4 linked regions of the Struthio camelus genome follow. The protein of the gene in region 2 interacts with the protein of the main gene of each other region in a pairwise test. Links are inferred from orthologs where the notes say so. Each region holds a gene or a part of one and is shown on either strand. Other genes may lie near its edges. The genes, in order: SHMT1, MAPK9, LNX2 and WDR62.

Region 1 (7,021 bases), on a different chromosome or scaffold from region 2:
GCTAATGGCTTCAGGGAGCCACCCCAGTCCTGGTGCATTACCAGGGAGGTTAATAAGGGTTTGACCCTCACCTGCTATGATCAGCTTGGGGTGGAACAGGCGGGCGTTCTCTTCTAGTCGATCATAATCGATGTAACCAGTCTTGGGGTTGACCTAGGAGACAAAAAGGACAGTTCAGCCACCTTGGCATGGGTAAGGATCAGTCCCAGCGCCATCCCGCAGGAGGGGATACGGGGAGAAGGGTGATTTGACAGCACAAGTAGTGAGAGGGGAAGGGGCATCCCACCCCTTCTAAGTCATCCTCCTTCTAACCTCCCAGGTCACCCACACCCTGGGGACAGGACACAGATGTAACCGTCCTGGTTGGACCCCATTACTCTTGCATTTAAGAGGCTGTAACGCTTATGACTGCCACGTCCCTGCTCCAGCTGGAGTGGTTCTCCATACCTTGTAGGGCATGGACTCAAAGAAGATGGAGGTAGCAGAGATCTTCTTCTTGTCCGTCATGAAGCCGTGGGTGAGGTGGCCGCCGTCGGGCAGGTCCAGCCCCATGATCCTGCCATGGGGCTCCACCAGGGCCGTGTACACCGCAAAGTTAGCGGGCGACCCTGCAGCGAGAGCACAGCAGGCCTGTTACAAGTGCCAGGGCACGTGGGGGCTGACGGAGCGCAGCCTGGCTCTGCCAAGCACGGTTACCTGAGTACGGCTGGACATTGACTCCCCACTTCTGGGGGTCCAGCTGGTACGCCTCCAGGGCTCTCTTCTGACACAGCCTTTCCAGCTCGTCTACAAACTCTGTCCCGCCGTAGTACCTGTTGGCAAAGGACAAGGTGGGATTTATGCCAGGGTTGGTGTTGTTTGCTTAGAGCAAACTGCAGGGGATTAAAAGCAAACTGATTATTCAGAAAGGTCCACGTGACCAAGGCCATGCTGGCTGGGGAGAACCAAGGCAACGCCATGTTTGCGGCAGCTACCAGGGCAGCAGCTGCAGCAGATGTGACCCTGCAGAGACGGTCCCACGCGCAGCCACGGGCAGAAGCTGAGGGGTTCAGATCCTGCCCTGGAGGAGCTCGGCTGGCTGGGCCAGTGCCATGATACCGCTTCCTTTCCGGGGGTGAGATTTCAAGAGGGAAGTGGCACGGGGTGGGTTGTTTCTCTTTTCCCTGTAAGGGTTTGGGTCAGTTGGACTCTGCCCTGCCCTGTACCTCTGTCCTGGGTAACCCTCAGAGTATTTGTTGTTCATGCAGGATCCCAGGGCCTCCAGGACTGCTCGACTTGCAAAATTTTCAGAGGCGATTAACTCCAGCCCCAGCTTCTGGCGCTGCTTCTCCTTCATGATGATGCTGTATACCTTTGGGAGACAGGAGAAACTGCTTCACTGTACTGGCTCTGCATGAGACATGGATGCTGCCAGGTAGGGATGCACCCTCAGAGGGGAAAGCGTGATGGAGAGCGGCTTGGAAAGGTACTGGAGAAGAAAAATGAGACCCCTTCTTGGTACAACCGATCCTGAACAGGTTCTGTCATGCGCTCTGTCATAGGCCTCGTTTTGGGTCTCTACCTGCCAGGAAGCTGCCAGCTAATTTGGTTGTCATTTGGGCTAGAGTCTAGGGTGGCTACAAAATGCACTAGGCTTTGGCCATGCTGGTCTGGTTGGCCATCTGTGCTTGTGCAGACATGTGAGCTTCAAGCAGAGGGGTATAAGCAATAGATGTGAAGTGAAGACCGTGTTAGCTCGATTACTGTGCAGCAACGCACTTGGAGGATGCTCTTCCTCTCCACCTCTCGCTGCAGGCAACCTGGCACAGAGACCTGGTGAGACCCAGCTCAGCCTTGGACCGTCTCGCCCCTGCGTCACCAGCTTGGGGAGGTCAGCGTCCCCGTGGCTGCCCAGGCCCAGAGGGTGAGTGAAGCAGGTTGCTTGCACTGACCGTACAGGCTGCTCCGCTGCCGAGGCCCGTGCCAGGAAAGGGCTCTCACCTCCGGGTCGTTGCTGTCGAGCGGCTCCACTACCATCCTGTTATGGGAGGCCCAGAGCTCCGTGCTGGGGAGGCCCCCGCTGCCCTGCGCCGAGTTCGCCATCTGCCTGCTGGGTCCAACGTAGCCTGGAGCCAGAAAGGGAGAGTTTGTGGAGCTGGCTGGGATGGCGGTGGGGCCGGGTGCCTCTGGGCCGTGTCCCCCACGTGCTACCTGCTCCCATCCCACGCCTTCCCCCGAAACGCAATGGGGGCTGGCCAGTAGGGTGAGGAAAACCCCGACACCTCTTGGGGAAGCCCCACTGATTTAAGATGGTTCTCCAGTTACGGTGCTTTGGTTATTTCCGACGTTGCCCCATCACCGCTCTGCTCGGGGATTGCGCGGGCAGGTTCACAGGCTTCCCCCAGCCCGAATCTGGGGAGAAGCCTGGCCCGACGCTGCCCTGTTGTGGCAGCAGCCCTCCCGCACCCGCCAGTGCAAACACTGCAAGCGTTATGATGCAGAGCACGTGCTCCCAGACGAGAGTGACAGCCCAGCTTCCGTCTCGGCTAAAAACAATGCATCTCTTTTATCCATTAACCCTGCCAGCCTAGCAAAGGGCCGTGAGCAGGTTATTAAGCAACCGCATTTAGTTTATTCGTGTCAACCCACCCTGGCTGTGCAACCGCACTCCTGCTTGCTCTGGCCTGGCCTCCCCACGACCCGCAAGCCCGGGTCCTCGCTGGCACCGTGGAAACCCTCCCCGCCGCCACCGCCCTGTCACCAAAGCTGCCTGCAAGGAGGAAAGGCTGCGGGGAAGGGCAGGGTGGGAGGCCACGGGGCTCTCCCGTCCCCCCGGGGAGGGCAAAGCAGGAGCTCGGGGCAAGTGCATGCCCGGCCCGCGCCTGGGCTCCTCCAAGCCCGCCCACAGCCCCGAGGGTCCCCGTGGGGCGAGCGGCACCGCCGGGCGCGCTCCCTACCTGCCCCTGCCTGAGTCACGCTCCCGCACGCGGCGCGGGAAGCCGCGCGCCTACCATAGAACGTTCGGACACTCCCCTCCGCGCCTCGGCCAATCACCGCCTGACCACCGCCCCGGTAGGCTGGCGAGGGACACGCCCAGGAAGCGTCTCGACCAATCCGCGCCGCGCCTCACCTCCTCCCCGCGCCCCATTGGCCCGCGCCGAGGCGAGGCTGGCGGCGCCACTGGCGCGTGGCGGCGCGGGCGCGGGTGACCTTGGCCCCGTGCAGCGCCGCGCTCCGGCGGGCGCGGGGCCGCCCCGTGGGCTGGGGGTGCTTCGAGCCCCCCTGCCACCCTGTGAGCCGGAGGGTGCTCCCAGCTGCCCCACGACCTGGGGGGTGCTCTGAGGCCCCCTGCCACCCCACCAGCTGGAGGGTGCTCCCAGGAGGAGCCGGAGGGTGCTTCACGCCAGCCAGAAGGTGCTCCTCACCTCATGAGCTGGAGGGTGTTGCTTGCCACCCTGGAGCCCAACCAGATAGAGGATACATCCAACCATCCTGCAAGTTGGGGGGGGGGGTGCTTCTTGCCACCCCACCAGCTGGAGGATGCTCCCAACCACCCTGCAAGCTGAGGGGGCTCTCTGCAAGCTGGAGGGAGCCCTGCCACTCCACAAGCCACAGGGTGCTCCTTGCCACCTCACAAGCTGGAGGGGGCTCCTAGCTGACCCATCAGATGGAGGGTGTTCCCCACATCAGCTGCAGCCCTGCCAGCCAGAGGGTGCTTCCCAGCCACCCCACCAGCCACCGGGTGCTCCCTGCCAAACCCCTCCCTGCAAGGCCCCGTGGCATGATGCCGTTAGCTGAGTGTGCCATGCACAGAGCCAGGTGCTGCTGCCATGGGGACTGGTGCCTGCTCCTTCCCCTTTGCAGCAGGGAACCCTGGATGCCCAGTGGGGTGTCTGGGTGCTTGAGAGGAAAGAAGCTACCGCTCAGGGATGAGTTGCATAGGCAGGAGAGGGGCCTTGTTTTCTCTGTGGTTTGAAGCCAAGTTAGCTAATGCAGTTGACCAACTTGAGCCATGCAACAGCCAGAAATTCAGGGGTTAAATTCACTATATTATAAATTGAGGAAAAGGACTAAGGAACAAGTGATCCTACCAAATTCCCCATGATCCCAAGGCATGGAAAGATGAAACTAGGCACTGTGAGTCACTCCAGAGAGCAGTGTCTTAACGGTGAGGCAGCCAGGAGGCAAGAGCAGCAGTCAGTGGCAGAGCGAGGAGCAGAGCGCTGTGGTGAGTCCTCTCGTGCACCTGTGATAAGGGGCCCTGGGGTGAGCAAGAGGGGCAAGGGAAACTGGGGGCTTACCAGGAGGGGGATTCGTGGGCATGTGGCTGACAGTTATACTAAGTGTTTTTCTGCCTATTAGAGTACACGTCCCTAGAAGGTATCTCTTGAAGCAATGGTCTTGTAACCTAAGCTTTATCAGTTTGGCCAATTTTTTTTGCTATCTTAATCTGTCCTTGGCCATCCCAAGACGATTCCTTGCAGCAGCAGGATTTGGGTTTCCCTGGTTCTGCTGTCAGCCCATGTCTGATTGCTTTTGTAGGCAGTTTATGGAAGGGTTGTTCTGCCACCACCGATACTGATGGCGATACCTCAGTTGGTTTCTCCGGTTGAGATGGTTTCTGTGATGTGCAGAGCAGTGCCAGGGTCACATGGCCGTGCGGCGACTCTCCAGCTCCCAGGGCAATGTGGCACTGGGAAGGCCGCTCTGGGTGATGCCAGCCCTTGCACCGCAGCGCCTTGGGCTGCAATGAGGTGAAAGGAGTTGCAAGCAAAAAATCATTGTTTATTATCATTTCTTGGCTTAAAACATCTCTCAATGAAAGCAGGCTGGTGTTCAGTGGTGGCGATAAGCTTTGCAGGGATCCAGGGGACTGCTCATTAAATGTGGAATTGCCTTTGTCTTGAGGGAGCCTCAGATTTTTGCTTGTAGCAGTACGACTCTGAGTTTTCCACTTGGTGGCTGAACTTCTGCTCAGATGTCTCCTCTACCCTTGGGTTGTTTTGATATTCATCAGATACCATCACTTCCAGGGCATATTTAGGATCAGATCAGCCCAAGAGATTCACAGACCCTCTGTCTAGGTTCGCTTGGATCTTGTTCAAATGGCTTAAATTCCTTGTACCTCTGCCAGCCTGAAGCCTTTCAGCCATTATATAGGCAGACGGTTGTTATTAAGTATATAAAGTGGATATAGTCTGGCATTGTGTATACATATTGTGTACAGCAGTTAAGCAAAGATTTTCACCTCATCTGAGCTGTAGGAGCTGCAGGTAACAGAAGTGTGTGCCTTTATGATTTCAGGAATCTGGCTTGCTGGTGATGGAGAACTTCTCCTCTTCCCCTTCTCCCTTCTCTGCCAGTTCTCCCACCGGGCTGGCTGGGAACGCCACTGCCCACGATCACTACTCCAGCCTGCAGAAGAGCATGCATATCCTTTCCATGGTGGTATACAGCATCGCCTGTTTGCTGGGGGTGACGGGGAATGGCCTTGTCATCTGGATTGCAGGCTTCAGGATGAAGAAGACGGTGAACTCCGTATGGTTCCTCAACTTGGCCATCGCTGACTTCATCTTCACCTTTTTCCTGCCCCTCAGCATTGCCTACACTGCACTGGGTTTCCACTGGCCCTTCGGGAAGCTCCTGTGCAAGCTGAACAGCACCATCGCATTCCTCAACATGTTTGCCAGCGTCTTCCTCCTGACGGTCATCAGCATGGACCGCTGCGTTTCTGTGGCCTTTCCCGTGTGGTCTCACAACCGCAGGAGCCCGGAGCTGGCAGCCAGGGTTGCGCTGGGGACGTGGGTCCTGGCTCTCCTCCTCAGCTCCCCGTACCTCGTCTTTCGGGACACTGCGGTCAGCTCCAAGAACATCACCAGCTGCTACAACAATTTTGCGCTGTCCGACGACTACACGTCTGAGGCAACGCGGAGGCTGTGGAGGATGCGGCTTAAAGCGATGATTGTAACGCGATTCTTATGCGGGTTCCTCATCCCTTTCACGGTGATTCTCATCTGCTACAGCATTGTTGCTGTCAAGCTGAAAAGGAGGCAGTTAGCCAACTCTGCAAAGCCATACAGAATTATCATTGCTGTCACAGTCTCCTTTTTCCTCTGTTATTTTCCCTACCACGTCTTCTCCTTGCTGGAAATATCCAAAAACTCTTCCAGTCATGAGATGAAAATGGCTCTTTACATAGGGATCCCCCTGGTTTCTAGCCTTGCTTTCTTCAATAGCTGCATCAACCCCATCCTGTATGTATTTGTGGGGCCGGATTTCAAGGAGAAGTTTCGCCAGTCCATCCTGTCAGCCTTTGAAGGGGCCTTCAGCGAGGAGTCCATCCTGGCCAGCAGGCGGAAGTCCAGGTCCGCTTCGGAAGTGGAGGTCCCGAGGGCTTGAGCGCTTTGTGCTGCGTTGCCGGCTCCGTTGGAGAGGGGCAGTTCTCTTCTCTGCTGTTTCCCTTCATTTCAGAGCTATAATTGCCAGACGGAAGTGTGATTTGACATTTTGGAGGTATCTCAAATCTGCCATGACTTAATATACTAAAGAAATGAAACAACTGGTTGGAGTTGCAGCAGGGTGGGAAAGTCAAAGTAGCAGCATTTTGTTCCGTATGCCCCTTCCTTTGCTGCCCATTTCACTTCTCCATCCTTTGTGGTCCATCATACCTATGCGACACCTCCTTTGTATACAGACCAGTGTGACTTTTCTGCCACTTGTGCTCGTTTGTCAGCTGGGTTCCTTAGCACTGAGCGTAGTTCAGAGTATTTCGTGTCCATTGTGCCCGTCTGCTGTGTGTAAAGCCCACAGGGGCTTTGCCCTGCCTTGCCAGCTGTCTGTCACTGTGTTTGGGACTGCTGGCAAAATACCCCCCCCCCCCCCCCCCGGCTGGCTGTGCTGAGAGGGCAACCATCGGCAGGGAGGTGGTTGTTCAGACCTGGCTGCTTCAGCGCTGCTGATCCGTTACAACTTGCAGTTGTTAATAGGTGATCTTTTCTGTGCACCGAGTTTGTGAAGCCGTTGACCAAGCTCCCTTTATTTT
Region 2 (7,544 bases):
ACCTATATGCACTCTGAAGGCATCCTGGCTGGTGAGCTGAAACATGGGCCATTAGCCCTAATAGATAAACAAATGCCGGTTATCATGGTGATAATGAAGGATCCTTGCTTCACCAAATGCCAGAATGCTCTGCAACAGATCACGGCTCGACAGGTAAGCTGTCCTTATAGGAAAAGAGAATGTGCACATTGAAATGTATTGCTGTTGACTGTGCTTCAGAAATAGGATTTTTTTTTTTCTTTCTAATTAGAAAGTTGCAAGTAAGGTGCTGCATCTGCATCACAATTTGTCATTAAAGGTTGACACCAGTAACAGAAAACTGACTGCATGTGAGTGTGTTTTGGTTTTGAAGCAAGTGGAAAAATGTTAAAAATCTACAGGACGAAAACATTCAAGTCTCGTTTACGTAATGGCTTTTGTCACTCACGCTGTTGTGCAAGACTGACATTGTTCTTGTCTACTATCGAGTGTCTTCAAACATATTACAGACGTGCCGTGAACCAGTATCTCAAAGTATTTCTAACCCAGATATTCACTAACTCTTTAAAATCTCATCTTCAGGGTCGCCCAATCATTCTGTGTTCCAAAGAAGACACAGAAAGCTCAAAGTTTGCCTACAAAACAATTGAGCTGCCTCATACGGTTGACTGCCTTCAAGGAGTCTTGAGTGTTATTCCCCTCCAATTGCTTTCGTTCCACCTGGCTGTTCTCAGAGGATACGATGTAAGTGCCTTCTATATTTAGGCAATCCAGTTAGAGCAGTTGTGAACTTCCTCCTACCAGCGTAAAGTGAAAGATATAGTTATATGGCATCTCTAACAAGGAACTATGATAGTAGTTAGGGGTACTGGTAGTGACTGTGATAGTAGAAGTGACACTTTAGTGCCAATTCTTCAGCTCTATTTTTGTAATTGGCATCCTTAAAAACAAAAAAATTCAGAAATATAATTTGCTTAGTTCTGACTCTTTAAGAATGCAAAGGTACCCTGTACCTAAGGTACCTAACAAACACGGTTTTGCACAGGGTACCTTAGCAGGGCTTTGGAAGCAAGGATGACTTCAACAGTGAGTCATTATCTGCAGATCAATAGTCTCCAGTGTGTGTTCATGAGTTCTGCTCTATCTAGACATATTAGGAAGTCTAAAAAAGCACATATGAAATTAAGTGTCAGATGAAGAATGTTAGTTTTACTGTCGTATACTGAAAGTCTGTCTTTTCATTCTAGGTGGACTTTCCAAGAAATTTGGCCAAATCTGTTACCGTAGAATAACAGCCAAGAAAAGTGGATGTTTTTGTCACCAGACCTCTAAGTTATAACTCTATAAATGTGTGTGGTGTTTTTTTTAAACTTGATAGGTACACATTTTTCTAAAGAGAATGACAATGCTAACTGGAAAGTGTCAGAAGGCTTTATCTTCTTTTTATGCAGCTTTAAAAGCTTTTGATGTGCCTTGTACCCAAGTGCTTTTGCTCACAGCAAACGTTCCTCTAAGTTCTGAAATTGCCAAAGGAGAAGATAAAAATCATTGTTTACACATGGTATACTGAATGAAGTTTTCTACTGTGCAATATATATATAGAGCTCTCATTAGAGCAACTGTGAACATTTTTTTTAGCCTTCACTACTTAATTAGTTTTAAAGATATAGTATTTATAAGTACAATTGTATAGCTTTTTTAAGTTATTTTTTTTAAGTATGTTGCTTATCTTGTAGCATTGATAATGCTCAGAATGTAAATACTGAGCACACTGACACTTGTGTCTGGTTGTTAGGTTTTTCCTGCTTCAGCCTCAAACGGCAAATCTGTTGTCCTTTTTCCTCCTCGGCTTGCCCTCCCACTTTGCATCTGTGTTTGTATTTAACCAGTCTGTTCCAAAGCTCTTCTGTGGCTGTAAATTGCCAGCTATGTCTTAAAGTCATGCTTCTTTCAACGAACTATTTGAAAAGCCAGAGCAACAGTTTGCTTTGTATGCTGCCCCAGCTCTTATTTGCATAACATGTACAGTGCAACAAAATAAGGGAACTGGATGTCTTTCAAGCGATACTTCTGTTTGAAGAGTTTACGATGAAATTACTATGCAATTAAAGAAAAGATGATGTAAATTCTTGCTGTTTGTTTTTTTCTTTTCCCATCTGACTCCTCCTCCTTTCAGTCTGAACATGATACAATACTGCAATACTCTTATGCCAGTAGGAGAGACAGTGCTCCCCTAGCTTTGCCTAAACCCTGGTATCAAGAGTTCTTTCTCTTCTGTTGCTTGAGGTAGGCGTGTGTGGGTTACTTTGTTTTGTTTTTGTGTCCTACAGATCTCTTTTTAGCCACGTGTTCTTTTACAAAGGTGAACACACGTCACTCTCCTTCTCCAGCAGCTGTATCTCAAAACAGTGAGTTGGGTTTTGGTAGTTTGCTCCATATCACGCTTTTTTCCAGGCACACGAGTACAGGAGAAGCAGAATTTGGTGACTGCTCCTCAGTTTTTCTTTTAGCTCTCCCTGCTCAGCAGGCTGGATGTTGTGAGCTCTGTTTTTTGGGTACCTTAACTCAGACTTTAGGAATGCTACTAGTAGAATCTCATGCTAAAAATTAGGTAGACCAGGCCTTCGTGTCCCCACCACTACCTCCCTTTGGGGATCTGGGTTTCAGTTCCCTATTTGTGATGACTGGAAGAAAATGACTTTAAATTGAGGAAAATGAGTAAGTCTTGCTAGTCTAGTAGACGTAAATACTAGTAGTTGGTGTGATGGAGTTCATTTAAATGCTAGGTGACTCTTCGGAGTAATTTAACCGTACAACATTCCTAGCTAAAAGCTTCACCAGACACTTAATAAAACGGCAGTAGAATCTTTGGCTATAGTTCTGACTACAGTTCATACTAGTTAGTGACTGAGGCTTGTATTCTGCCTTCCTCTGATGTAAATGAATGGGAAGAACTTTCCCAGAGCTGAAACAGGAAGCTATGTCTATATTTTACACTTGCTGTCTGTGGTCATAATGTTGCCTTCTAGGCCAAGAAAAAAATTGCAATAAACTTGCATTTTAATAGAGTACCTACTTTACAAATAATGGCACATTAAAAACTATTTCAATAGCAACAAAAATATTGTTTACACCTTCAAGCAAGTACTAATCAAGGAAAAATAAGAATTTTGTTAATATAAAAGGCCCTACTTAAAGATTTCAGGTCTCAAACTGTATCTATTTGCAAAGGCACACTTTTTTAGTTGTGAACTAGCAACAGGAAGCATCAATAGGCCTCAAAGAAATAAGGTAGATATATGCATGAGGGTCTGTAGTCATTTGTAACTATCAGGAATGATCTCTTTCATTTCTGTTTTTTGTTTAATAACTCATCTAAATCCTTGACTAAACATTTTCTTTATGTATGTACAAGACATCCCCCTGCAGGTTTGCTTCTAAACTGAAATGTTTAGAACGTAGGTTAATAATTTGAAAGGGGTACACTAGCTTGCTGTAATAGAGCCGTTTCTGATAATTACTTTTTATAACTACCTAGAAGAACCCCAATCATAACTAAAAGCACTGTGATAATCTGACCTAGATGCCCAGGACATGTAACTCAATATTTGACCTGCTTTAGTAGGTAACAGAAGGGTGCCTCCAACTCTCTAGAATTACTATCCTCCTCATATTAATAGAGGAGCTATTACAGGAAGCTGACAGCAGTGCACTTCAGAGGCTAGCTGAACTGATTTATTTAAAATAAAACTGCAAAATAAAACTGTGGCTTTTTTTTTTTAAATCTCATGCGTGAATAAAAAGAACGGAAAAGAAAGCTTGCTCTCTTTTCCTAGGAGAGGCAGGAAAAACACATCAAGTCTATTCTTGGTCACCACCTGTTTTAAGAAACAAGCAGTCCTAAGGTCAAGGTAGAGAGATGTATAGAAAGCTTATGTTTTTTTGAGAGGGGACAAAAACAGTTGAGTGAGGTAGGAGATAAATATTCCCTTGGCCTCCGAACCAGCCCTCGCTGGAAGAGCTGCGTGGAGCTGGTGGGTGTTGGTACTGCTGCAGGTGCGAGGGGACATAAGGGTGCTGCTGCTGCTGCTGCTGGGGCCCTGTCCGACCCTCCCACCCTGCAGTGCAGGCTTGGCCACCCCACATTGTCACGGGTCCTACCAGGAGCTCCTGAGCACGGAGGTGAGGTGAGGGGCTGCCCACGTGTGATGTCATCTTGGGCTGTTGAGGGCCGTGCTGACCTCGCAGCGTGCCTCCCTCCACCTGCTGGGGCAGGGCCGCTCTGAGGAAATGCTGCCGTCACCCGGCCGTGGGGGCTGGCGCCACAGCATCTCATGACGGGGCACCTCTGGGCGGTGATGACATCATAAGCACGGTGACCGCCTGACATGGGATGATGACCTCACTCCAGGGGGCGGGGCCGCAGCCGGATTGGCTGGAGCCAACCTGTCCCCACTGCGGCCCTTCCCCGTCACCGCCTCCCTCCCTCGTAGAGCGGCGAGCGGGGTCCCGCCCCCGGAGCTCGATTGGCTGAGTGCGGCCCCCGGGAGGCGCGATTGGGCAGGGCGGGTGTCTGTCAGCGGGCGCAGACCTGGCGCGGCCTGTGAGGGGCAGCGGGAGGCCATTGTGGCTGGGGTGGCCCCGCGCGCTGGAGGAGCAGGGCGGCTGCTGCGGCCCCGCAAACGCAGCGCCCCGTCCTGTCCCGTCCGGTCTCGCCGCGGAGGAGACGGTGAGAGCGAGGCGGGGGGCGGGGGCGCGGGAGGGGGCCGGCGCGGGGCTGCGGCGGGGCCGCCTCCCGGCCGTGTGGTGAGCGGAGCCCCCGGCTCGCGCGGGTCGCCGCCCGCCGCGGCGGCAGGGCGGGAAGTTCCCTCATGTCGTGGCCCCCTCGTCCTCCTCCTCCTCCTCCGCCGAGAGGCCCCTTCCTCCTCCTCCTCCTCCTCCGCGGGGCCGCTTTGGCCGAGCCCCCCGCCCTTCCCCTGTGCCGCATCGCCAGCGCCGCCCGGCCGCGGCGGCCCCTGCCCGCTGCCTTGGCGGCTGCCGGCTGCGGCGGCGCCCCCGTCCCGGCCCGGCCCGGCCCTGTGGGAGGTGGGGGCCGGCCGGCCTCCTCGCCCCGCTGCCCCGCGCCGCCTAACGATGCGGCCGGCCCGGGGGCCAGGCCGATGCGGTGCTTCTCAGGCAGCGAGCGCCAGCCTCCTGCTGAGCCAGAGCAACTTCGCAGCGGAGGCGATTTTAGAAGTATTCGTATTTAGTTATGCGGCTCTTATGTAATCTTGAAACAGCGTGATTTGTTACAGCAGATGCACGGTTAAACTTTTTTTTTCCTCCTTCTGCCAAGTCGTGCTAGCAGGAGAGCTGAGGTGCATCCAGGGTTTGTCTTCAGCGTTTTATTGACAGCCAGATAATGCTATAACAGGTAGTTGTTTACAAAGACTTTCGTCACTAGTAGTTTTGGAAATTTAAAAAAAAAAACTTTTTTTCAAAGTGCTAAATTGATACGGAGTATTTCTAGACTGCTGTAACTGACTAATGTCAGTTACTGTTTTGCTGCACTTATGTTCTGTAGCAGACTTGTTCCAGGCTGGTAAGTGAAGTGATATGGGGTAAATTGTAATGATTCTGCAAGCTGGATTTATACCTGTTGATTTATTGCTATTGAAGGCGGTTTTTACCTTTTTATCTTAATGTGCCTTAGAAAAGGGCGTCCTAATTTGAAATGCATTTATAAATGTGAATAAGAGAATGGAGGAAGGGGGAGATTTTTCCACACAGGCTTTCTGTATCATACCCCCCTAGTGTCTTCATCCAGTTCGTTTAGAAACAGTCCACCTGATTACAAATATATATATGTGTATGTATTTATTTGTTTATATTATACACACTTTTCTCACTGCCAGTGATGGAATTTTAGCTCAAGGTTTAAAAATCTAGCTAAGTATTTAGCCTTCATTGTCATTAATGCCACTCTGTAACCAAAACAACGCTGGGAATGTATTCACAACTGTTACAACCTGTTTGTTTCAGAAGCTTTTGACTTGAAGATATCCAGAGGACAGATCTGGTTAATAAGAAGTTGCCATTTTAATAAAAGCTTCTTAGAGAAGTGACTATTTAATACAGTATGTGTACTATAGTGCAGTTGCTTTCAGCCTTTTTTAAATTTGTTGGCTGCCCCAGATTTTCCACTGGGAAGTGGAATTCTGTATAACAACTCATAAGCCTACTGTGGTAGGTTTGGGGTTTTTAGTTCTCTAATTATCTTTCACGGACTGCAGGTTGAAAACAACTCCTGTAGGTGTTTTTACGATTACTGCATGTGATGTGCTGAATTAGGTTTGTGGTGATTCTTTCAATCTTGACTCATTTTAATTCAGTAACATGCTGTTATCAATATGTAGAAGTATGTTTGCTGATCGTCCTATGAATGAATGTTTTGCACTTTGGTGCTGATCGTGTTTGTAGCTGCAGCTAGGAAGCTGTAACTGAAAATGTGTGTTTCTGCAGTTGAAATACGTCTACTTCCAAATGATTTCTCTATAGGAGAAGCATGGAATTTGTTATGTGTCCTGTTAACAGGAGTGATGAATCAAAGTATTTTGGGTAGGAGAGTTACAGCTCAGGGCTTGGCTTTTGAGCAATGGAAAATCTGTTTTTACTCAAGGGGTCTGGCCCCCAAAATAGACTCTCTGCCTTAAGCCCAGTGAACACCTACAGTCCCTACGCACCTAACTTTCCACTGATGGGTATGTCTGAAACAGCATATGTCCTAATGCTTCTGAACAGCTTGCAGCCCAAGTAAGAATTAGGACTCAGCTTGCTTCTTCCCTTGCATGTTTTGTGGAGAAGCTGGGTAGTCAGCACTGTGAATTCGAAAGGATGTCAAAATACATAAAAGCTGCACGTTATTTCTCTTTAGGTCTTGTCCAAAGAGCTTATCCTGTTTTCTAAATGAAGTATTTTTGAAAGATGGTTTTGTACAGGCAAGGTTCCTCTAAGTGAGAGTTTCCTTGGTTCAGGGTAACTTCCTTTTACCCAACTTTATCTCTGTAACAAGAAAGTGCTTCATTAACCCATGAAGAAGTACAGTTTGTTTTTTCACATAAATAACTATTTTTTTGACTTGATGCCCAGCTTATTCAAACTTTATACTTTTTTCCCCTCTGAAAATCTTTGCCAAAGGTAGGATCTTGACCTTTCTTCTTATCTTGCCTCTCCAGTCATACCTTTCTTCCCATGTGTGAAGATTTACTGAAGACACCAAAGCTGCTCAGTGACTGTTAATCAAAAAATTTGATACGTTAGAGTTAGCTTTGGAATAAAAAAAAATCTGTGTTTGCATGTGATTCCCTTTCTGGTGGGTTCCTCAGCTAATACTCTGTCAACCAACTGAGTTTCTTATGCTTTTTGCTTAAAGGAAGACTATCCTCCTAGAGTTTATCCATGCAGGGGATGTTGTAAATGGTATTAGTGCCTACGTAATGCTTTGGTATGCAACTCCCTGTGCATCTGACTGCACCTGAAAGTGTTGTATAGGAGACTTGCATTTCTCTTCCTCCCTGCCCGTCCCC
Region 3 (7,949 bases), on a different chromosome or scaffold from region 2:
ACAGTCTTAAACTACCACAAATACAGAGCAACAATACAATTTGCTTACTTAAAAACGAGGCTGAAAACATTGTATCTTGCAGTATCTTAGCGCAATTTTTTTTTTAATTAAAATACTTTCTACTGATTAGATGGAAAAATTTCAGAATCATAAAACGGAACTTAAAATCTTGCCTAAAATCTTAAAACTTCAAAAGTTACCCGATTTTACAGCAAACAACTGCATCCTTACACAGCCTTTTGTTTTTACCATATAATGCACTAGCTCACTATCAGAGAGGCTCAGATTAGAAACCTCCCCTCTCTTCCCAGCCCAAATTCCAAAACAGAAACTGTCCTAAGCTATTTGTGAAACTAACATTCATTCAAATAAACATCTAAGAGAATGCAAAGGGTTGTCACCTAATCAAATTCAGATGATCAAAAACACTTCCAAAAATGAGAGAGATGTCTGTACCACTACAATGCACAAGTATGAAGTCAGCTCCTCTACAGTACTCCTACCATCTGTAAGGGAAGGAGACCCATGGCACGGTTGGGAGTTTCTCGTTACATGTCCATTGGTTAGCCAGCCCTCACTGCCAAGCCAGAAGTCATCTACCTATACGAAGTCATGCAAAAGATGAAAACAGTCAGGACGAAAATGGGACAGGTTTATCCCCCAAACTTTGCAAACATAAATCCTCAAGACATTCACGCACAGGCTGAACATCAAGCCCAAGAATAGACCCACCATATTCCACAAGAAAAACTTGAACTTTCAGAATTAAACATACGCATGAATGCCTACAGAATTGAGGCCATAAAAAGCAGAGACTACAATGTTATTGTCTTTTATTGCTCTCTAGACACCGTGACCTAACAATTACATAATTAAATAATGACACGTAAAAGGGTTTTCATCCTTAAAAGGCACTATGATTTCTAAACAAAAAAACTCCATTGACCTAATAAAGCAATTTAGAAGCATGCAATTCAACGGTGTCACATTAAATTGCTTTTCCAAACTAAATCAACAAAGAATTTTCAAATATCAAAGACAAACCACTGACTAGACCAAACAGATTTCCAGTGTCCTCTGGTGCCTCCATACACCAGGAAGCATTTTCATTCTGAATAAAGGTTGTTTTCTTATTACAGCTCTTAATATCTAATAGCTTTTTAAACAAGCAGCATCTTGCTGATTTATGAAATTAATGTATACTATTCCAGTGTCTAAACTACATCATATCCTTACACATTTCTTTTTTAGAGTGATATTGTAAGCCTCACTTCTGCTTCACGGTGGCTTTAAGTGGCTGTATTTAAAGCATTTATTAAGAGAAGGATAGGATTGAAAAAAAAGTCTAGCAGGGGAATATTCTGAAGTATTTTCAAGTAGACAGTTTTAACTGGAAGCTAACAAACTTCTGCTGTTTTTTAGTGATGCTGGTCCAGAAACGTATAGTGAGACTCACAGGCTGTTCAGTTCAGGCAAAGCCTTATGACAAAACAAAGTTTCACTAAGGTCATCAAGGCTTTTATGTGAGTCGGCTCCACACACACGCAAAAGCTTGCAATGTCAAAGCCAATATTTTTCTAATTATATATGATAGGCTTCAGTAGGCTTATTTTTTAAATTAACCTAACTGTTCAAGAGAACAAAACTTTTCCACCTAGTCACCAGCTTGCACTCCTCTTGCAAAGTTTCATTCCTAAATTGCAGCTTCATGTTTGAACAAATTTTAAAAAAAGGTTAAAGACCTGGGTTAGGAAATCATGTTGTTTGTGCAAGCCTCAGACCCGAGTCCAAGGCCCTGGGCTATCTGTCGCTGAAGTCAGTAGGGTAGGAATTTGTTATAGAAAACTCGGATCTAAAAATCAATGTGTAGGAGGTTTTTTTGTGTTTACTGAGATTTTAGAATTTTAATAACACAGAAGCTTAAAAATCAGAAATGTCATAAACTTTTATGTAAAAAGATTCCCACTGGACAAAAGGGCGTTCTTTGCAGTTTCCCGAACTCGGGGTTTATCGTTCTGCAGCGCTGCGTTTAAGGAAGAGAAGACTCCTCACTCAGTGAGCTTCAAAAAGTAAATGCTAGAAGGGCCCTATTAAGCCTTACGGTCCCAGACAGTATGCTTAAATACCTTGTTTCCACCCTGAGGAAATCTGTTTTAATAAAAGTCACGGCGGCATATGGCAGTACTAAGGTGGTTATTTTCCGAGCGGGCAGGGACACTAACTGAAACCATCTGATGTTTCTTCCTAAGCCTCCTTGATCTGCTGCTGGATCGCAGCTTAGAATAAAACATCACGAGGCCACAAGGAATTGGGTAGCGGAGTAGAAATCGGTCGGTCCAGCTGTTTATTTAATAAGAGCCTAGCTCAGAGCAGCTTCTCTTTTGAACAAAGAAGCTCAAACGCTTCTATGATTTATTTCCAGAGGGGGATCAACGACACCCCAAAGCCAGCGCGTAACAGAAACTCCTACTTTGTACGCGAGCGCGAAAGAAAACCCACAACATCGTGTAATTAAAAAAGGAATTAGATGGGGCCCAGCAGTACTTAACCGCGGATTTCTGGCGCAGTGCACAACCAGACGGGCTGTGCATCAGAAACGCGGCAGGCGGAGCCGCAGGGGGCTGCCGTCCCCGTCCCCGTCCCCGTCCCGCCGCCGCCGCTCCCCCACCTCGCCGCCGCCTCAGCGCTGCCACCTGCTTCGCCAGCCGCGACGGTTTTTTCAACGCGACAGACGCGACCTGAACGAACACCGGCCCCGGCCCGCCCGCCCCAGACTTGTTGCGCCACGAGGCAGGCCCGGCCCGAGCAGGCCCGGCCCCGCTGCCGCCTCCGGCCACCGCCCCTCAGCGGCCGCCCAGCCGGGCAGGGAAGTTACTCACCGCCGCCGGCTCCCGCCGCCGCCGCCGCCCCTCAGAGCGGCGCCGCGCTCGCCTCCATGCCGGGCGCGCAGAGCCCTCGGGGCCGGGGCCGGCCCAGCCCGCCCCGCCCCGCCTGGCCCAGCCGCGTCCCCGCCGCGCCGGTGCCGGTGCCCCCGCCCCGCCGCGCCGCGCCGCGCCTCGCCGGCGGCAGCCCCGGGCGCGGGGGCGCCGCAGCCTATGGGAGCGGGCGGGGCGGGCCGCGCCGCAGCCCCGGGGTGGCCCCGCCGCTCGCCTGATCGGCGGCGGCGGCGCGGGCGGAGGGTGAGGGGCCCCCGCGGGCAGCAGCGCCGCGGCGCGGGGGGCGGTGTCGTGCCCCGGCGCACCCCCGCCGCCGCTGCCCCAGCCGCCGCTGCCGGCGCTGGGCGAGGAGCCCCCAAGCCCGCTCTTAGCCCGTCCCCGGCCCCCGCTCGCCTTAGCGGAAAGCGAGCGCGGACAGCCCCGGTCGCCCCGTCCCGCCAGGACTGGCGCCAGAGTTGCTTCCCGAGCCCGCCCGCCCGCAGCAACTGGGCGGGGGGCGCTGAAGGAAACGGCCCCTCTCGGGCGGGGGCAGGCGCCCGCGGCAGCCGGCGGGGAGGGGCAGCGGCGCCGGGGCCGGGGCCGGGCCGGGGCGCGGCGGGCGGGCGGGCGGCAGGTGCGGAGGGGGGAGGGGGGAGGCGGCCGCCGGCCGGCACCGCCCCGGCTCCTCCCCCGCGGGGTCCTCGGCCGCCCCGCCCCGCCCCCGCCGGCCGCCAGCGGGACATGGCGGCGGCCTGCGCCTGAGCGGCGGCCGCGGGCCGCGCCATGGAGGAGGACCCGGAGCTGGAGAGGTGAGCGGGGGGCGGCGGGCTGCGCCACCGGGCCTCGCTGGGCCGCGGCGGCGGCGGCGGGAGGAGGAGGAGGAGGAGGAGGAGGAGGAGGAGGAGGAGGTGGTGCCGGCCGCGACCCGGCGGCCTGTGAGCCGCGGGGGGCCGGGGAGGCCGCGCGGGGTGGGCGGTGCGCGGCGGCCGGCTTCCTCCCTCGGCCTCTTCGGGACGGAGCTTTGAACCCTCCCCTCGGGCGCTGCTGTGCGAAATAAATGAATTTTAAATGAATTTTTTTCCGGCGTAATGTGAAAATATATACGTGTATCATTGCTTGAAAAGAAAAAAGTCAAATCTCCTCGCAATGCTGCTGGTACTGTTCAGGAAGAAGATTTAAAAGCATTAGCTGGCTCGTCTCTCATTAATTGGAAGTCAGCAATTAGCCTCACTTGCTAAAATCAAAAAAAAATAAAAAAAACACACAGTTAAACTTGTACTCTAGTCGGTTTTGGTTCTCAGCGTTAGAGATTTGCCAGCTGACCAGCTGTTAAAATGACCCGTTTCTTGTATTATGGCAAAATGTTTGCGGTCGTTTTGTCAAAAAAGGAACGTGCTCCGTGCCTTGCGGTTTGGCGTGGATGAGCCGATGTGTTTTGCTGCGCGTGCTGAGCTGTGGTTGAGCTGTGGTGTTCCCAAGCAAACATTGCGGACTGAAACGCACGTTTCTCTCTCCGAATATTCAGTCCTCGCAGGCGTGCCTTACTCCTGCTTTACTCTAAGTATTTACAGCACAGGTAGATCTTTTCTTTTGATAATCATGCTATTTCTTGCAGGTTTGTCTAGAAGAAATGATTAACGTGGTGGGTTTTTGACATGGTTCCTTGAGCTTCGCTCCACTTTTCTAACAGGCAGAAAACTTAGGGGACAGCGATGACTAGAGGCTTTCTGAACCGTTCTTCTCGTGATTCTTCTCCTTGACTTTAAGAGTCGGTAGAAAATAACTTGTTTCTCTCGCTGTTTATATTTAGCAAGTATTTTAAATAGGACAAATGTAATAGTGTTGGCGTGGTGGAAGGCATAGAGAGCACAAAGCTTTTTAAGAGGCCTTTAATTCTTGTACGCTACCTCCCCTTTCACATCATCAGTACAGAAATTCAAGTTTCTTTCTAAATATGCAGGAATGTTATTTTTATGACTGCTGTTCCAAATTTATGCCCCCCTTTTTAATCATATCAAATCTAAACTTTGTCACAGCTCCTTCCACGTTCTGTCTCTCTTCTGGCCGCTGCTGACGTGCCGGGGACTTGTGGTTCTCCAGGCAGTTTGGGGCGTAGCTGCGAGAGATTGCTCCAGAGTCTCTTTCTGACGCTCTCCTTTCCACCAGCCAAATTTGCCTCTTATTTCAAGCTGATGCTGAATATACTATTCCTGTTTCATGGCAGTAAGGTAGATAGTGAGGAGGAAACTGTGTATTATTTGCCAGAGGAGGCACAGAAGGGTTTAACTGTCCTGCACCTTGAATCCATGCTACATGTTTAATCAGCTCCTTGCATATTATATATACAGTATAGTGAACTTATTGGTTACTGTTTTCTATCTTGGATCTGTCTTACACTTCTTCATTAGCTAATTACTTTTTCATGCTCTCAGTATTCAAAAAAGCTCTTTTTGTTAGTAGCACCCTTAATTCAGTTCACACTGTGTGCATTTAAATGTCGTATTTGAGCATTTCCCATCACACTTCTCCATACAGTCCCCAAGAGTCTAGTGTTGACCTCTCTTTATCCTTTGGCTTACAGACATGACTCGTTAGTCTCATATCCAGCTACCTGGTGATCATACTCACGTTATGTCAGATGTACAGCTATGGCAGTTAGCTTTCGTAATTTTTGGCCCTTTAAAATATTGCTTTGGCCTACGAATAATGGCATTTTTCTTCTGCAGCCACAGCATAAATATTTTAGGTAGATTTTTGATGTTTCAAAAACGTTTTTATTTGGAATATTTTTCATCGTATTTATCTCAGTTTAGTCTTATCTCAGTGCACGAGTCTTCAATAACAGTGTAAGACTTTTTGTATGTGTGGTTTTAGTTAATGTAGCATAAAAAAAAGTTTGTAACTACTTTAATGCAGGTTCTTTCAGGCCTAAAGTGCATTTTGTCAGGTTTCCAAACAGCGATTTATTGAGAGGAGTCAGTTGTCCCAGTTTTTTGTGACCATCTAAAGAGAAGTCTCTCTGTTCTGCTTGTTCGGTGTTGCTTCTATTTTTCCATTTTACAGTGTCTGGCTCTCGCTTGATCTTGTGTTTGATGTTTTTCTCGCTTTGATAGAAAGTGGTAGTCACTACCAAAGCTGATGCTAAGTTGTGTTACCATGTGACTGTTGCGTACCCTGGGATTTAAAACCCTAAAAGCTGTAAATACTTCAAGTGTGTAAAATGTTAAGCCACGTTCTATTAATATATAATTCAGAGTAAAATGTATATGATCCTAGAGGAAGTAGGAAAAAAGGTTACAAATCAGCTACTGAGAATTGTTTATCTTATATTTTCCCTATAAGCAGGTGTACTTACTTTTCCTACTTAATTCCTACTAAATGTCCTTTGGGGTATGATAGAGGTCACTATTTTCTTCCTTATCCAAACAATTCCCACCAGCTGTCTTCATGGGTCTGTGTGTTCAAAGCACAGAAAATACGTGGTTAATCTGGCAATATAAAGGAAGTGGCTTTGCTGTGCTGTGTGTCCAGATTCTTCCATAATCAATTTCGTCTCTCAACAGCTCTGGATATTTCACAACCTTTAGTATCATAGCCTCTTAGAATTGCCTGTCAAGCTTGCTTGGAGTATCATGTACTTGGAAATAAGCATCTCTTAAGGAGATAACGTTCTGTACACAAGAGCTGCATTGTGGACAATCAGTAGTCTAGTACTTTTGCTGTCCCGATTATAGTTTCCAGCAAGTAAGTTTTGTGCCTTGGAGAAATTATTCGACAGTTCTCACTATTCTTTCTGTTATTTTTAAGTTAAAAATCTAACTGTCATGTTACTTAGTTCAGTATGTAATTCTTTCCCATATTTGTGGCCAAAAAGGTGATTTGCAAGCTAAAGTCGTTGTTTGAAATTTTGTGGTATCCTCACTCCTCAAAGCCGTTGAGAGTATCAGCACGGAAATGTGCTGAAAATAGACTTAGCTAGGTAAGAAATAATCCTGGCCTGGGGAGAGTTAGAGCATGAGCATGCCTGATGTGGAATATCTTTGCCTTTGAACACACGGTAGAAAGTCTGTGGCATATTAGTGCCTTTTTTTATTCTTGTTCTTAGTTGTGGCTTAGGCTTTCTTTTTGATATCCCTTTTTGTCAGTGTTTGTAATAAATGTGGTCAAATAGGACAAATTAACTCGTAGGAGTCAATTATACAAACATTGGCCTTTCGTGTCATTCTTCTACTGTAGCAGGCAATAGCTTCAGTCCTTGGCTTCATGGAAAGTCTTGATATCTAATTTTTCAGAGATAATCTGAGTACCAATGGCCCCTTTACTTTGGATCCTGCACGCACTCAAAAATAGCGTACATAGTCAGCGTAGAAGTACTTTGATAAAATTGATGTAGAAACTGGCTGTTCATTCTGGGCCTGTAGCTAGCTCTCAGGACCTAGAGTACTTCAGAAAGTAGATTTAAGCATTCAGTGATTTCAGAGATCACCATAGCTCAATAACCTAGCTTTTCAAGTTGAACGTTACTGGTATAGACTGCAGTTGATTATTAATGCTACAAAGGTCTTTGGAGAAGATCTATTTGATAAAATGTTCTCTTACTCTGGGAGATGTTGTACAAAATTGTATCTGATTATTGCCCTCCTGCTCCCAGATCTGTGCATATCAGTAATTGATTGTGTGCTGTGAAGTAATTCCAGTAAATACGTTGCCGGTACAGTTCTCTTGGGGATCGTTGATGAGATGATGGCATGGGTAGGTATGGCAGTGCTGTCTATAATTAAAAGCATCCAGTCTTCTCTGTAGTCATATCCTGTTCTCATTGCCTGTAATTTTATGTGTATCTGTTTATCTGTATCTGTTATTAATTGTGTTCATTTTTTAATCTATATTTTTGATCTTTTTCAGCAAAAAGGTTAACCCTTTTTCTGAACGACCGAGAGAAAACATGAATGATTTTACTTGACTTTGCGGCCTTTAACATTCTCCCATTGTTCAGGCACGTGCATTTGTGGTACCAGTTGTTAGAGTTTATGC
Region 4 (7,848 bases), on a different chromosome or scaffold from region 2:
GGCCATGACCTTACAGGACACCTTGTTGGATGCCACCAGAGAATCCTTCTGCTCAGAAAGAAGCAAACAGCCCCCAGCGGCTCGTCGACGAGACAAGATAATAACGGCCGACGTTGCGATCTTGCTGCCGAGCCGCTGCCTCTAGCCGCCCCCAGGAACGTCACGAGGCAAAGAGATCGGAAAGGGCTATTCTGCCCCAATTTGGGGAGGGGGTGATAGCGGTGTTTCGGCGAGAGTTCACGAGGCGGTTCAGCCGCAGCGAGCCGGCTCGGTTTAACGGGCGATTTGCCAATCGAGCTGAGTTTGGCCGGGGTCGACCCGCGCGCTTAAACGCCTCCAGGGAGGAAGCCCGAACCGAAGGCGACGAGGCCAAGTTCCCGGCTTTCCGGCGCTCACCTTCCAGTCCCACACGTTGACGATCATGTCGTGCTGGTAGCCCACCGACACCAGGTACTTGGCGTTGGGCGAGAAAGCCACGCAGGCCACGCCGTGCTTGTGGCCGTGCAGCTCGGAGAGCTGCGTCCGCTCCTCGACGTCCCACACGCGCACGGCCGGCCGGTGCCCGTTCTGCGAGAGGAGCCGGGGCGGCAGCAGGCTTTCGCGTTTTGCCAGCGCCGCTCCCGCCCCCCCTTCCAAAAAAAAGGGGCTGTCTGACATTTTCCAGCCCGTTTTCGATCCCCCTCCTCCCCATCCGCTGCGCTAGCCAGGCGCGTAGTTCACAGCTGACTGCTATGAGCAGCGTTATCATGCCGACTGACCGGGATCCCCAGTGCCCAAGGCTGGAAACGGGCCGGAAAACACACAAAAAAAAGCTGGAGGAATATTCTTGGCTACTCTGTGCTGCTCGTAAGGGATGTTTACCAGCGCTGGGCAATTAAAAACGGGCAAACGGCATGATTACAAACGAGTCAGACTCACCTCTCCGGTCACAATAAGCTTCCCGTCGGGGGAAAAGGCCAAAGCACTCAGGGTTTTCCTGCAAAAAGATGAGGGTTTTTAAGAACTGGGCTACAGAGAGCCACGCCAGAGGGCAAACTAACGTTTCCTTGCGTCGAACGTGACGTTAAAGCAGAAAAAGAAAAAAAAAAAAGCTTTAAGCTACCCAGATACGGTTCCCAAAAGTCAACCGTCAGCGCGGTCCGCCTTCCCAAGCCCGTTTGAGCAGGTAGAAAACGGCCCGGCGCGCGCCGGAGGAGCGCGCTTTGCCCCGACGCGACCTGAACGCAAACGTCGCCGCTTTCCAAACCTCCCTCCGAGCCCGCTGGGAGGCTGAGGGTAGATAAAGTCGCCCCGAGACCTGGAAGCGTTCAGGATGTGTCTCTGTTTGTTCTTTCGGGGATTTAAGATGACAACGACGCATCTGGAAAAGAAAAAACAAAGGCAAAAGAGAGATCGAGGGCGTACCGGTAGCCGTTTTCCTCGATCGCGGCTTCGGAGGAACGAAGGGGGTTTTAAGGGAGGACGAGAGAGACCGCCGAGAGCTTTAAAGCCTTCCCGTAAAAGCGTTTTTGCAGGAAACGGCAACCTGCCGCGTTTTAAACTCGGAGAAGCCAAAGGTTTAGTGCTGGCACCAAACCGGGATGCGGTTTTGAGGTCAGTTAAGGCGTTTCCGGGCGGCAACGGCAAATAACGCCGTTCGACCAAGCCGGCTTCGGCGAGAGCGAGCCGAAGGGGTTTTCCCCCCCCCCGCTGTTTGCCGGGGGCTGCCGGATCATTTGGGACCAAGGGGGACGAGAAGCGCTTACCCCGCCGGATAGGCGATCTGCCCGGTGGTGGGGTCGCAGGCCAGCGCGCTGCTGCTTTGGGTGGTTATTCCCAGCACTCGCTCGAGCATAACCTGGGGGGGGGGGGGAGAAAAAACCCCCAAAATCCCCCAAATCGGAAGTCGAGGGAAAGCCACGAGGATGCAGGGGGACTCCTTAGTCCCCCCACTAAGGGGACCCCCAAGCCCCGCCCCCTCTACAAGCCCCACCCCCACCACCCCAATCCCCATGGAGACCCCCAAGCCCCACCCCTTCTACAAGCCCCGCCCCTCCACCCCAATCCCCATGGGGACCCCAAGCCCGACACCCTCTACAAGCCCCGCCCCTCCACCCCAATCCCCATGGAGACCCTGAAGCCCCGCCCCCTCTACAAGCCCCACCCCTCCACCCCAATCCCCATGGAGACCCCGAAGCCCCACCCCTTCTACAAGCCCCACCCCACCACCCCAATCCCCATGGGGACCCCAAGCCCCGCACCCTCTACAAGCCCCACCTCCATCACCCCAATCCCCATGGGGACCCCAAGCCCCGCCCCCTCTACAAGCCCCACCTCCATCACCCCAATCCCCATGGGGACCCCAAGCCCCGCCCCCTCTACAAGCCCCACCTCCATCACCCCAATCCCCATGGGGACCCCAAGCCCCGCCCCCTCTACAAGCCCCACCTCCATCACTCCAATCCCCATGGGGACCCCAAGCCCCGCCCCCTCTACAAGCCCCGCCTCCATCACCCCAATCCCCATGGGGACCCCAAGCCCCGCCCCCTCTACAAGCCCCGCCTCCATCACCCCAATCCCCATGGGGACCCCAAGCCTTGCCCCCAAGCCCCTCCCCCACCACAATCCCCACGGGGACCTCCAAGCCCCGCCCCCTTTCAAGCCCCACCCCCACCACCCCAATCCCTATGGGCCCCCCAAGCCCCGCCCCATGGGGGGTCCCCGCTCCCCCCAAAGCCCCGCCCCAACACCCCTAGGCCCCGCCCCCAAGCCCCCCACAGGCCCCGCCCCCCGCCAACGGCCGCCCCCTCCCTTCCCTTCGCCTCACCGCGTCTTCCGGACCCTGGTGCCGCGACCGCCGCCGGAGGGTGAAGAGAGGCGGCGAGTCGGTGCCGGCCCGGCCGGGAACGGGGCCGGGACCGGGCCCGGGACCGCCGGCTCCCGCCATGGCTCCGGGCCGCCGCCGCCGCCCGCCGCAGCTCCGAACTGCGCGCGGCCAGCCGGCGTCCCCACCCCATTGGCCCCCGCCCACGCCGCTCAGCGGCTCGACCAATAGGAGAGCGGGGCGCCGCCCGCTCCGCCCCCTTGTCAATCAGCGCGGGGCTCGGCCAATAGGCGGCGCCGCTGCGGAGGAGGGGGTGGGGAAGCCGTGTTTATGTCCCCGCCCCGCCTCGGCTCCGGCGTGCAGGCCGCGTTGCTATGGCGGCGCCCCGCCCCTCCCCGCCTGCGGCAGCGCGCATGCGCACCGGGGAAGGGGCGTGGCGTGCGTGCGTGCGCGCTGACGCAGCGCGGCGGCGCGTCACGTGGGCGGCGGCGGCGGCGGTGGTGGTGGCCGAGTGGTGCCGGGCCCCGAGCTGCCCCAGCGCCCCCGGCCCGGCCCGGCGCCTCCTGCCGCCGCCTCCTGCCGCCGCCGCCGCCCCCCCCTCCGCGAGTCGGTACCGCCGCCCCGCCCGGCAGGCGCTTCCGGGTCTTGGCGGCCGGGGGCTGACGTCAGGGCACGTCACGGGCCGCGCCGTGACGTCACGCGGCGGGGGTGGGTGGGGGGGGTGGTGCCGTGTCCTGGGCCCGGGCAGAGGTCGCGTGGGGCTGGGAGGGGGGAGCGGGAGGGGCTGGGAGCCCCCCGGGGTGGGGGAGGGGCCCCCGGGGTGGGGGAGGGGCTGGGAGCCCCTCGGGGTGGGGGGGAATCCTCAGGGTGGGGGAGGGGTCGGGAGCACCCCAGGGTGGGGGAGGGGAACCCCCCAGGGTGGGGGAGGGGCCAAGAGGGGGAGGAGCCAGGAGCCCCTCGGGGTGGGGGGAGGGGAGCCCCGGGGTGGGGGAGGGGCGGGAGCCCCCTGGAGTGGGGGAGGGGAACTCCCAGGGTGGGGGAAGGGTCGGGGAGCACCCAGGGTGGGGGAGGGGCCAAGAGGGGGAGGAGCCAGAAGCCCCTCGGGGTAGGGGGGAGGGGAACCCCCAGGGTGGGGTGGGGAGCACCCCAGGATGGGGGAGGGGCCAAGAGCACCCCGGGGTGGTGGTGGGGGGGAGCTGCTGGGGGGGGGGGGAGGGGAACCCCGGGATGGAGGAGGCCTTGGCCTCCCCCCTCCCCTCCCCCACCGACAGCTCCGGCCCCTCGCGCAGATTCGGGACGTCGGTTCGCGCTGACCCCGCGCCGCAGAGCCACGGGGAGGGGGCGATGCCGCCGGACCCCCCGCCGGAGCCCCCCAACTCGGCCGTGACCGCCTGCGACTCGCCGCCGCCGCCTCCTTCCCGGAGCGTCCGGCTCCCTCCTCCTCCTCCTCCCGCCGCCGCCGGGGGCTCCGCGGCCGAGCTGAGCACCGAGCAGCTCGTCGGCCTGGTGCTGCTGCTGCAGAGGAAGGTGAAGGGGCTGCAGCAGCGGCGCCGGCGCCACTGCGCCCGCCTGGAGGCCATGGAGAGCCTGGTGCAGCGGCTGCGCGCCCACAGCCTCCCCGCCCGGCGCGGGCTCGGGCTCCTGCCGCTGGTGGGTGGCGCCGCCGCGAATTTCGGGACCTCCTCCTCTCCGGCCCCTACGTGCTCTGTAGTCGCTGGAGCCCCTATAGCTCCTCTCTGGCCCCTACGTGCTCTGTAGTCGCTGGAGCCCCTATAGCTCCTCTCCGGCCCCTATAGCTCCTCTCCGGCCCCTATGTGCTCTGTAGTCGCTGGAGCCCCTATAGCTCCTCTCTGGCCCCTACGTGTTCTGTAGTCGCTGGAGCCCCTATAGCTCCTCTCTGGCCCCTACGTGCTCTGTAGTCGCTGGAGCCCCTATAGCTCCTCTCTGGCCCCTACATGTTCTGTAGTCGCTGGAGCCCCTATAGCTCCTCTCTGGCCCCTATAGCTCCTCTCCGGTCCCTACATGTTCTGTAGTCGCTGGAGCCCCTATAGCTCCTCTCTGGCCCCTACGTGTTCTGTAGTCGCTGGAGCCCCTATAGCTCCTCTCCGGCCCCTATAGCTCCTCTCCGGCCCCTACGTGCTCTGTGGTCACTGGAGCCCCTATAGCTCCTCTCCGGCCCCTACGTGCTCTGTAGTCGCTGGAGCCCCTATAGCTCCTCTGTGGCCCCTCTAGGCCCTCTCCAGTCCCTATCGCTTCTATAGCTCCTCTCCAGCCCCTATAGCTCCCCTCCGGCCCCTATATGCTCTGTGGTCACTGGAGCCCCTATAGCTCCTCTCTGGCACCCCTAGCTGCTCTAGCCCCTATCGCTCCTATAGCTCCTCTCCAGCCCCTATAGCTCCCCTCCAGCCCCTCTAGCCCTTCTAGCTCTTCTCCAGCCCCTATCGCTCCTATAGCTCCCCTATAGCCTTTGTCCAGCCCCTGTAGCCCCTATAGCCCTTCTCTAGCACCTATAGCCCCCGCAGCCCCTATAGCTCCCCTATAGCCCCTCTGCAGCCCCTATAGCGCCGCCCTTCCCCCGGGCGGGCCGCGCGTAGGCCGTGGCCGAGCCCAGCCCCGGCGGCCGCGGCCCTGCAGGTACCGGCGGCGCGGAGCGTCGCGACCCCCCCGGGACCCCCGCGGGACCCCCAAACCCCCCCCCCCACCCCGGGACGCCTCGTCCTGGGCCCGGCGGTCTCGGCTCGCCGCCGTCGCAGCGCTTTCACCCCCCCCCCCCCCAGCCCCGAATCTGTTCTTCCGCCCCGCGGCGGCTCCCCGTTTCCTCCCCGTTTCCTCGTCCTCCAGGCCTGCCTACAGCCGGAGCCCGGCAACACCGTGACCGTCGTCTGCCGGGACGAGGAGCCGGCGGTGCCGTACGCCGCGCCGCAAACCGCCGCCGTCCCGCGCCCGGAGGAGCCGTGAGCGGAGCCGCCGGCCGGGGCCTCGAGCTCGCGGCACAACGCGCCGCCGCGCCGGGTGACAACCCCCGGGGTGACAACCGCCGCCTCGAGCTCCGCGAGCCGGCGCGTTCGCCACGGAGGTTGGGGGGGGGGGGTTGGCTTCCCCCCCCCCCGCCCCGGGAATCGCCCCGCGGAAGGCGGTTTCGGGGAGGAGGGGGGGGCGCGGAGGGGACCGAAGCGGTGGCTGGGTGGTGGCCGTGCCCCCCCCCCCCACACCTTTGGGTGCTGACGGTGACGAGCCCTCGTGCCCCACCGGTGATTGGGGTGGGGGGGCACCTTATTTTTTTTTAATTTCGGGTTTATTTTGTGACACGGGGCGGCGGGATTGTCGATCGCTTTAATAAAGGCTGAACGGAGACAAAAGTGATGGCGGCGGCGGGGGGTGGTCTGTGACGCTCGACCCTCAGGGTGGGGGGGGGACCCCGGGGTGGGGGTCGGCCCTCGGAGGTCCCCTTGGGTGGGGGTCGGCCCTGGGGCCACCCCTGGGTGGCGGCTGGTTGTCTGCTGACCCTGCGCTCTGAGCCCTGGGCTGCAGCTGTCAGTAGGTTCCAGAGTTAACGGAGGATTGTTGGCAGCGGGGAAAGAAGGTGGCAGCCCTTGGGGCGAGTCTGTGCTGCCAGTTCCCTATAGATACAGGAAGGGGCCCTTCGCCCTCCCTATAGTCTCTGCCCCTATAGGCCCCCCCATAATCCCCTCTCTGCTCTCTTAGCCCCTCCTGCAGCCCCCTATAGCCCCCTTATAGCATCTCTCCGACCCATTGAGCCCCCACAGCCCCTCCAGCTCCCTATAGCAGCCTTCCAGCCTCCGTATGGCTCCTCTCACTTCTTTGCACCCTATAGGCCCCTGTAGCCCTCTTTAGGCCCCTTCCGCCACCCCCTGTTGCCCCCCACGTGCCCCCTATAGCACCCTATACCGCTTCGAGCGCCGTTCCACCCCTTGTAACCTCCCCCAAAGCCCGCTTCCCGTCTCTGTCCTCACCTATAGCCCCCAAAGCCCCCTATAGTCCCCATAAACCTCTCCCCAGCACCCTCGGCCCCCTATAGCGCTCACTACCTGCTGTAGCTGCCCTATAGCTGCTCTCCAGCCGCTGCAGTGCCTCCGCAGCTCCCTATAGCCCCTCTCTGTACCCCCAGTAGCTGCACTGCAGCCCCTATAGACCGCTATAGCCCCTCTCTGGCCCTTGATTACCCCCTCCCCAGGCCTCTATAGCTGCTCCCCAGCCCCTATAGCCTCTTCAAACGTTATGACTCCCCCCGCCATAGCTCTCTACACCCTCTTCCCAGCCTTCATAGCCCCCGATGGCCCCCTATAGCCCCTCCCCAACCTTTAAAACCCACCGTGGAGGCCCTAGAGCCCCTCTGCAGCCTTTATAACCCCCCACAATCCCCTATAGCTGCTCTCCAACCCCTATTGCCCCTCTCCAGCCTTTATGACACTACCATAGCCCCCTATAGCCGCTCTCCTGCCACTATAGCCCCTCTACAGCTTTTATACCCCCCATAACCCTCTATAGCCACTCTCCAGCCCCTATAGCTCCTCTACAGCCTTTATGACGCTTCCCTAGCCCCCTATAGCTGCACCGCAGCCCCTATAGTGCCTCTCCAGCTTTTATAGCCCCCGATTTCCTTCTAGAGCTGCTCTGCAGCCCCTATAGCCCCACTGCAGCCCCTATAGCTCCCCTGCGGCACCTCCCTGGCTCCCAGAGCCTCTGTAGCCCCTCTAACCCCTATAGATCCTCCAGCCCCTATAGCCCCTCCAGCTGCTATAGCCCCTGCAGGCCGTGTAGCCTCACTCCAGCCCCTATAGCCCCTGTAGCCTCTGCAGCCCCAATAGCCCCTCCAGCACCTATAATCCCTTTAGCCCCTACGGCCCTTCCAGCCGCTGTCCAGCTGCTATAGCCCCTACACTCCCTGTAGCCCCCTATAGCCCCCTGCAGTTCTTATATACCCTACAGCTGCTCTAGTCCCTCTAGCCCCTCTCCAGCCCCTATAGCCCCTGTCGCCCCAGTGACCCCCATAGCCCCTCTGCAGTCTCTGCAGCCCCTGTAGC

What was found.
Region 1: the proteins of MAPK9 (region 2) and SHMT1 interact in binary tests that used the Homo sapiens proteins (3 or more experiments, as listed by UniProt). The two-hybrid records come from large-scale screens. The link is inferred for Struthio camelus from reciprocal best matches to the Homo sapiens genes MAPK9 and SHMT1.
Region 3: the proteins of MAPK9 (region 2) and LNX2 interact in binary tests that used the Homo sapiens proteins (3 or more experiments, as listed by UniProt). The link is inferred for Struthio camelus from reciprocal best matches to the Homo sapiens genes MAPK9 and LNX2.
Region 4: the proteins of MAPK9 (region 2) and WDR62 interact in binary tests that used the Homo sapiens proteins (3 or more experiments, as listed by UniProt). The two-hybrid records come from large-scale screens. The link is inferred for Struthio camelus from reciprocal best matches to the Homo sapiens genes MAPK9 and WDR62.

Annotation. Positions count from the first base shown.
Region 1 is NC_090956.1:3,587,801-3,594,821, reverse strand, and holds the start of SHMT1 (serine hydroxymethyltransferase, cytosolic), read right to left. Parts: upstream 3,006-7,021; 5' UTR 2,937-3,005; intron 2,813-2,936; exon of another isoform or gene 2,629-2,812; intron 2,106-2,628; 5' UTR 2,083-2,105; coding exon 1,981-2,082; intron 1,904-1,980; exon of another isoform or gene 1,795-1,903; intron 1,415-1,794; exon of another isoform or gene 1,352-1,414; coding exon 1,206-1,351; intron 813-1,205; coding exon 697-812; intron 609-696; coding exon 448-608; intron 154-447; coding exon 72-153; intron 1-71. Other genes in the region: chemerin-like receptor 1, read left to right, coding at 5,302-6,378. UniProt on the Homo sapiens protein: Interconversion of serine and glycine.
Region 2 is NC_090954.1:6,436,383-6,443,926, reverse strand, and holds the start of MAPK9 (mitogen-activated protein kinase 9), read left to right. Parts: upstream 1-4,537; 5' UTR 4,538-4,708; intron 4,709-5,314; exon of another isoform or gene 5,315-5,392; intron 5,393-7,544. Other genes in the region: GFPT2 (glutamine--fructose-6-phosphate aminotransferase [isomerizing] 2), read left to right, coding at 1-153, 562-723, 1,227-1,271. UniProt on the Homo sapiens protein: Serine/threonine-protein kinase involved in various processes such as cell proliferation, differentiation, migration, transformation and programmed cell death.
Region 3 is NC_090942.1:200,708,277-200,716,225, reverse strand, and holds the start of LNX2 (ligand of Numb protein X 2), read right to left. Parts: upstream 3,012-7,949; 5' UTR 2,880-3,011; intron 2,804-2,879; exon of another isoform or gene 2,669-2,803; intron 601-2,668; exon of another isoform or gene 504-600; intron 1-503. Other genes in the region: protein POLR1D, read left to right, coding at 3,699-3,724.
Region 4 is NC_090957.1:1,836,898-1,844,745, reverse strand, and holds the start of WDR62 (WD repeat-containing protein 62), read right to left. Parts: upstream 3,012-7,848; 5' UTR 2,997-3,011; coding exon 2,807-2,996; intron 1,838-2,806; coding exon 1,746-1,837; intron 1,542-1,745; exon of another isoform or gene 1,405-1,541; intron 1,361-1,404; coding exon 1,298-1,360; intron 1,205-1,297; exon of another isoform or gene 1,103-1,204; intron 977-1,102; coding exon 919-976; intron 630-918; coding exon 397-629; intron 49-396; coding exon 1-48. Other genes in the region: THAP8 (THAP domain-containing protein 8), read left to right, coding at 3,217-3,413, 4,093-4,453, 5,645-5,761. UniProt on the Homo sapiens protein: Required for cerebral cortical development. Plays a role in neuronal proliferation and migration.